Saccharomyces cerevisiae S288C: one gene and its partner. The protein of the gene in region 1 interacts with the protein of each later gene in a biochemical or structural test. Each region holds a gene or a part of one and is shown in the gene's direction. Other genes may lie near its edges. The genes, in order: MED4 and SSN2.

The links.
Region 2: the proteins of MED4 (region 1) and SSN2 form a complex in vitro, tested with the Saccharomyces cerevisiae proteins (one study listed by BioGRID).

What each region holds. Positions count from the first base shown.
Region 1 is NC_001147.6:656,416-660,101, forward strand, and holds MED4 (Med4p), read left to right. Parts: upstream 1-2,331; coding exon 2,332-3,186; downstream 3,187-3,686. Other genes in the region: YRM1 (Yrm1p), read left to right, coding at 1-155; DCS2 (5'-(N(7)-methyl 5'-triphosphoguanosine)-(mRNA) diphosphatase), read left to right, coding at 849-1,910; ALE1 (lysophospholipid acyltransferase), read right to left, coding at 3,400-3,686. UniProt on the Saccharomyces cerevisiae protein: Component of the Mediator complex, a coactivator involved in the regulated transcription of nearly all RNA polymerase II-dependent genes.
Region 2 is NC_001136.10:1,348,194-1,352,124, reverse strand, and holds the start of SSN2 (Ssn2p), read left to right. Parts: upstream 1-2,186; coding exon 2,187-3,931. Other genes in the region: YDR444W (putative hydrolase), read right to left, coding at 1-1,835. UniProt on the Saccharomyces cerevisiae protein: Component of the SRB8-11 complex. The SRB8-11 complex is a regulatory module of the Mediator complex which is itself involved in regulation of basal and activated RNA polymerase II-dependent transcription.

The sequences.
Region 1 (3,686 bases):
ATAACAGCGAAAACGCTTCGCATAACAATGAAACTGGGCCAATTGAGACTGAACTGGCACAGACAATATCCAACGAATTTTGGACGGCGTACAACCTTGGCTGGGAGGAACTAATGAGTCAGCCAGATTATAAATATTTATTTGATACGCAGTAGAGGAGAAGTTCTTTTACAAAAAAACATGCTTGCGACAGCAGCTAGATAGAAAACTTGCATATTGTAATGGAAGACAGTCGAGAGCAAGCCATTGGCTTGGACTTGCGCTTGGACCTATCTTTCGGACCAACTATTTAATGATTAGTAAGACAAAAATGACATTTAAGCATCTATAAAATAAGAAAAATAAAAAAATGAAGGGAAAAAGCTAAACACTAACTTCTTGACCAAACAAACAAGGAAAAGCCAGTAATTGCGTGAACAAAAGGCACCTGCAATTGTTCTGATGGATGTACTTTGTCCAACCTATTCTGCAAGAAAAAGAAATCAACTCCAAAGAAGTATGGAGCTTACTGGCACTCTAGCCTCCAAAAGCTGTTAAAGTGTTCATTCGATTGTCAAAAATCTTCCCCATAATAATCACCCACCTCAACAAAATACTTCCACTTAATTATTGATCGATTAGAGCTAGCGTCAGTGATTATATGCTAGTCCGAAAGGACAGCCCCATGACAGCGGCCGCGCAGACGCCTAGGGGGGAAATAAGGGGTGACAATACCAATGAGTATAAAGGCAGAAAGAAGAGAAACAGAAGCACGGGGGTTTCGTTTGGTCTTCAAATATATGTTAGGTCGGTACCTTTTCATTGCAAAATTGAAAAGATTTGAGCGTGTAAAAGTAAAAAAATACATGATGGGTTCCCAAGATTTAGCTAGTTTAATTGGGAGGTTTAAATACGTCAGGGTGTTAGATTCGAACCCTCATACAAAGGTAATCTCACTACTAGGCAGCATAGATGGGAAGGATGCCGTGTTAACTGCTGAAAAGACGCATTTCATATTTGATGAAACGGTACGTAGACCCTCTCAAAGTGGCCGTAGCACTCCGATTTTCTTTCATCGTGAAATAGACGAGTACTCCTTTTTAAACGGTATTACTGATCTGAAGGAATTAACTTCGAATGACATCTACTACTGGGGGTTGTCTGTTTTGAAGCAGCATATTTTGCATAACCCAACTGCGAAGGTTAACTTAATTTGGCCCGCCTCGCAGTTCCACATCAAGGGATACGACCAGCAGGATTTACATGTCGTCAGAGAAACTCCTGATATGTATAGAAACATAGTTGTGCCCTTTATCCAAGAGATGTGTACCAGCGAAAGAATGAAATGGGTAAACAACATTCTTTACGAGGGCGCCGAGGATGATAGAGTTGTTTATAAGGAATACAGTAGCAGGAATAAAGAGGATGGATTCGTCATCTTGCCCGATATGAAGTGGGACGGAATCAACATTGATTCGTTATACCTGGTCGCGATCGTGTACAGGGACGACATCAAATCTTTGAGAGATTTGAACCCAAACCATAGAGATTGGTTAATTAGACTCAATAAGAAGATTAAGACCATCATCCCCCAGCACTATGACTATAATGTAAACCCGGACGAGCTAAGAGTTTTCATTCATTATCAACCTTCATATTACCATTTTCATGTCCATATAGTGAATATAAGGCATCCAGGAGTAGGCGAGGAGAGAGGCTCCGGAATGACAATACTGTTGGAAGATGTTATAGAAGCGTTGGGTTTCTTAGGTCCTGAAGGTTATATGAAGAAGACGCTTACTTATGTCATTGGTGAAAATCATGATTTATGGAAAAAGGGCTTTAAGGAAGAAGTTGAAAAGCAACTGAAGCATGATGGTATCGCAACCAGTCCTGAAAAAGGCTCTGGGTTCAATACCAATTTGGGTTGAAGGTAGAAGAGCAGCACTATTTTTTCATGTGCTGAACTTCAGGAAGCGCCGGCTTATATAAATGTCTTATTTAAATGTTTGTGTATACATCTCAATGGATTTTGAATTTTAACATAGAATGCGAATGCACAGTAACATAGTACATTCAGTTGCTATTTTCCGTATAAGCTTTCTTTCCCTTATAGCATACATAGCCTTTGACGTATTGCCAGCCTTTTCAAAGAAATGCGAAAAAATAGTGCATTACCACCTACGTAAGGTAGGCTGGAGAAAAAGATAAACTTTTGCATTCTCTGCTCACCATACCGCGAAGGAAAGTAGTTATAACGTGTCCCGTTTTCAACAAGGTTTTCTGGTATATTGTTAACGGTGGAGAAAGCATCTAGTATCAATTACTTCCAGAGTACACACAACGAATGTTATGTCTGTCCAAGATACTAAAGCGGTAGAGTTTTCTATGGGTCACATCAGATCATCCTCTGTATCCCTGGTAGCAGAGGCTACTTCAAACACGAATAGTGAAGACAAATTATCTAAGGTCCAACTCTACGAAGATTTGTGCCGGTACGAGGATACATTGAGTAAGTTGGTGGAATCTGTAGATCGTTTCAAACCAAACCTTGATATTGCCAAGGATTTGATCAGAACTGATGAGGCCTTGTTTGAAAACGTCAAACTGTTAGCTGAATATGACAATATCTACCGCAACTTACAGAAGATTGACAAAGACTCTGAAGAACTAGATTCTAAAACCAGGAAGATATTGGAAATTCTAAATGAATGTCATGACGAGTTAAAAGCACTACCGATGCTTGAACAAGTAGAGTTCGAGAAAAACACAATTTTACAGCAAAGATCGAAAATCAATTCGACAGAGTTGTTGGATTATGCCACCAAACTCTCCAAGTTTACCAAAATACCACCAACGTTCGACAAGGGAGCTGTGGGACCCAACAATTTTATATGGCCCGCAGAGGATGCCCTACGAAGAGGAATGCTTGCTATGGCCTCATTACATAGTAAAGAGCTAACTAGAATACCCGGTGAAGAAGTAGAAGAAACAGAAGTACCGACCGTACCGCCATCTCAAAGTGAAGAACAAAAAGGGCAGATGGCCAAGAAAGAAGGTACACCAAAGACAGACTCGTTTATATTTGATGGTACTGCTAAAGAAGTTGGTGATGAGGCAGACAATACCAAAGATAAAGAAAAGGAAGAAAATAATGATGATGCCCTAGATCTTGATCTTGATCTGTTTGATCCGGACGACTTCTAGTTGCAGTGTCTTGAATCTCTTCCTCGTTAGGAATGAAGAAAAAAAAAAGTTAGACAATAATTCGTGTAGGTAAAAGCGTATATAAAATTACATATATAATTTACTGCAATATGTCAAAGTGTATGAAAAACATTTGAAAGTAAGTTCCCACAGGAACTGGAAAATAAGACAACAAGACTGTGACTTCCACACGCATCTGTCGTTTTTGGCCATCTACTCTTCCTTTTTTGAAATAGGCTTTGGTGAGTAACCACTAAAACTCATTTTTCTCACACGTTCACCTGATCCACTTGCAGCGTTAGAAAATTCCTGCTTGAATCTTTCAAAAGCTTTAGAAAGGTTTTCCTCTTCTATTTCAAGACCATTTTTATTTCTCCATTCTTTGTAATCTTTGCAGAAATCTTCCCAATCTTCCTTAGCATTGTCCCACTTTTCTAACTCAATTGGTGGAATACCTAAGTTCATTTCTTCTTCTTCTGCTGTCTTTCCCTTTTCATGTT
Region 2 (3,931 bases), on another chromosome or scaffold:
ATCTGCACTAATACTTTTCTCCAAGTCATCGTTTCTTGCCATTCTCTAGCAATGCGCTCTTGAATCCTGTTGACACTCTCATTAGGATATATAAGCTTCTTAACGATAGGCCTATTCTCATAATGCGGCGGAGGTAATTCTTCCGGGTGATAAAGTTTATCATGAATGACTTCATCTTTCCTTACAGCCGGGTTTTTGATATACTCCTGATCTGGTATGGCAGCTGTCAATACCGATAATGCAGACAATACAGTATTGGCTTCTTTTGGAGGTTCGAACTTTTGACCATCAAGAAATACTCCTTGTTCATTATCCGAATCTGAGTTGGCTTCATTAGTTTGTCCTCTCTTATATTTATTTATTTTACTTCCGTGGATAACGGCCTGAGGTAAAGTCCACTGCAACGTCGCTTTTTTGTTTGGACTTTCTGCAGGAATCTCCCCGACGTTGTTACCATTTTCGTTTGAAGGTGATGATGCTCCACTACTCTCTGGGCTATCGGAGGACACAAACTCGCTTGAAGTTGGAGAGTTCTTATTTTTTTTCCTAATTTTCTGGACTTTGTGTATGCTTCGCCAATCCAGATACAAAAGTGCAGCAGTTCGTAATGGAACAATACCATCATCCATGACATTGGCATATATCGTTCTCCTCTTAAAAGACTCAAATACTTTTTTAGCCGGCGCCTGTGGAAGAATTTCTAATATGTACTTGGAATGTTCTGGGTACACTTCATCGTCTGCATACAACCCATCTTTGGACGTTAACGGTGTATATTTTAAATTCAAGTCCCTTCCTGTCAAACCAAGCGCGCCCATATCCAGTGGAACAGACAAATAAAAGGGGAAGTCGCCAATAACACCGATGAAAGGACTAGCTAACGTAATAAAATTAACGGGTTTAACACCTTTAACTGCATCAAAAAAATCTGGTCTTTTAATACTTATGTAACGCACCGCCATGGATTGAGTTGGCCCTCCTAGGGAATGGCCAATGAATGATATCCTGTCTACTTTGTACTTTTTATTCAACTTATCAACAGTCTCAAGCACATACTTTCCAACTCTAACGCCCAAGCAATGTATACCGTGACCTGATTTCCCGACGTTGCCCATAAAACCTCGAACAATTATATTCGGATTAATAGACTCATCCATAGGAAACGTCATTTCTTCAATTTTATCTTTCATATATAGCATATCACACCCGATATTAGAAAATATACCATGTGTCATAATAACGAGATGTACAGGCTTTTCTGGAAATTTTGGTGGTAAATCCCAAAGGGTTTCAGTATCCCACATCTCTAAAGAGACACCTTCAATACTCTTAAAGAGCCCATTCGATTTCTTGACCACCTTCCTTGTAGTCCCTATCCTAAACGAAAATTCCAGCTTCGGAATTGTGGTTACCGCCAACTGCGAAATTATATCTATTGTCCATGAATAAAGAGAAGTGTCGCCAACTCTAGAATTCTCATTCAATAATATTTTTACTTTAAATCTTTCGTCCGGCTTTAGATTTTCAACAAATGGAATAATTTCCTTCCCTGGAAACTTGCGATTCTCATTATAGTTATGCGGCCTAACATCGATGTAAAAAGAATATGGCCCCGTCAAATAAAGCGGTCGCAGAAGCGCGCTTTCCTCGTTCTTGATCCTCAAGAATAGATGCGATACATCTAGCCCTTGTTCCTTAATTACATCTTTGTTCACGGAAAACTTGTAGCGATATAACTCACCTATTCTTAATCTCTTCCGCTCATCAACCAATAAGGTACCTCCGGTTTCATTTATCTCGAGCGAATTTTTCATTCGGTTGATTTTGTAAGGCATTAAGGGATCGAACCAAAATGGAGCAATTCTTTTATAATAAGAAGATGAATAACAGCCGAGTAAGTGATTCTCCTCCGCATTTCCTGCTGTTCATTGTTTTATCATACTGAATAAACAATCCTTAGAAAATAGCATCGATATATTCGCGCTTAACAAAGCGAAGAATTGAAACATTTTTTCAGGTGGAGGGACCGGGTAGTGCCGGATCAAGTAGTGTAGTATTTATTGTAGTACACTCTTACAACAACCCTTTAAGACGAATGGTGTGAAATCGGAAATTACTTTGTTGAAGTAAGGTGTAACTATATTTTAAGAACGTTTAAGCTGGATATCAAGATCTGAGGAGGTAGTATGAGTTCTGACGCTTCCACGTACAGACTTGAGGATGTTTTATCCAGCTTCTATAGAGTGGAGAAAATCAAAAAGATCAACTATCATCAGTACATTTCTAAAGCCCAAAACGATCAATGGTCTATCCAAATGGAATTCATGCTACGGAAGCAGGATCCAAAGACTCTAGTTGCGCTGCTTTCAAGGGATTTATGGTGTTTCAGTATAAATGATGATCCGGTACCGACACCTCCTGCGATAGAACATAAACCAGTGAGCCCAGATAAAATCGGAACTTTCACTGCCGATTATTCAAAGCCAAACTTACCGCCACACTATGCTCTTTTTTTAAAAGCTTTAAGAAGGAAAATTTACATTAATTTGGCATTAGGTTCACACAATAAGCTAATACAATTTGGGAATGCCTGCATATCATTAAGCGGAGTGCCAAATTATCTCGTACAGCTAGAACCACACCTTTTTGTAAACGGAGATCTCACAGTGTCGTTATGTGCCAAGAACATGGGATTAGTACCAATGAAGGAGGAAAATTTGGAAGAATCTTTCCTTTCAAAGCATGCGCTTTATTTAGCACCATCTGGAATAAGGATGCATTTGGCCCCTGCTTCCAAGCAAGGATACTTGATAACGCCACCAAAACATACAGAACTTCTCTTGACGACGTTAAGTGTATCTCATGGTATAAACTTACAAAATAAAAAAAATTTGAAATGGGTTGCTGTTGTTCCTGACTTAGGACATCTCAACGGCCACACACCTACTATAGCTTCGTATTTAACTCCCTTACTTGAAGCAAAGAAGCTAGTATGGCCGCTGCATTTAATCTTCGCCCAACCAGTAGCTGATATAGAAAATTCTACTTCCGGAGATCCATCAGAATTTCACTGTTTGCAAGATGCTCTGGATGCCATTGATGATTTCATACAATTAAAGCAAACAGCTGCCTATAGGACTCCAGGAAGTTCCGGCGTATTGAGCAGTAATATTGCTGGTACAAATCCCTTAAGCTCAGATGGAGCATATACAGAACAGTTTCAACATTATAAGAACAACTCAATTAGTTCTCAACCCGCTTCTTATCATTCTGTCCAAGAAACTAATAAGATATCTCCGAAAGATTTCTCCCCTAATTTCACAGGCATTGATAAATTAATGCTGTCGCCCAGCGATCAATTTGCTCCAGCTTTCTTAAATACCCCTAATAATAACATCAATGAGAATGAATTATTTAATGATAGGAAACAAACTACAGTATCAAATGACTTAGAGAACAGCCCACTGAAAACGGAACTGGAGGCAAATGGTAGATCACTCGAAAAGGTAAATAATTCCGTGAGCAAGACAGGAAGCGTAGACACACTTCATAATAAAGAGGGAACACTGGAACAACGAGAACAGAACGAAAATCTGCCAAGTGATAAAAGTGACTCTATGGTAGACAAGGAATTGTTTGGTGAGGATGAGGATGAGGATTTATTTGGCGATAGCAATAAATCGAATTCTACAAACGAATCGAACAAAAGTATATCGGACGAAATTACCGAGGATATGTTCGAAATGTCTGATGAAGAAGAAAATAATAACAATAAAAGCATTAATAAAAATAACAAGGAAATGCATACTGATCTTGGTAAAGATATTCCATTTTTTCCCTCATCTGAAAAACCGAATATCCGTACGATGAGCGGAACTACAAAAAGATTAAATGGAAAGAGGAAATATTTGGATATTCCGATAGATGAAAT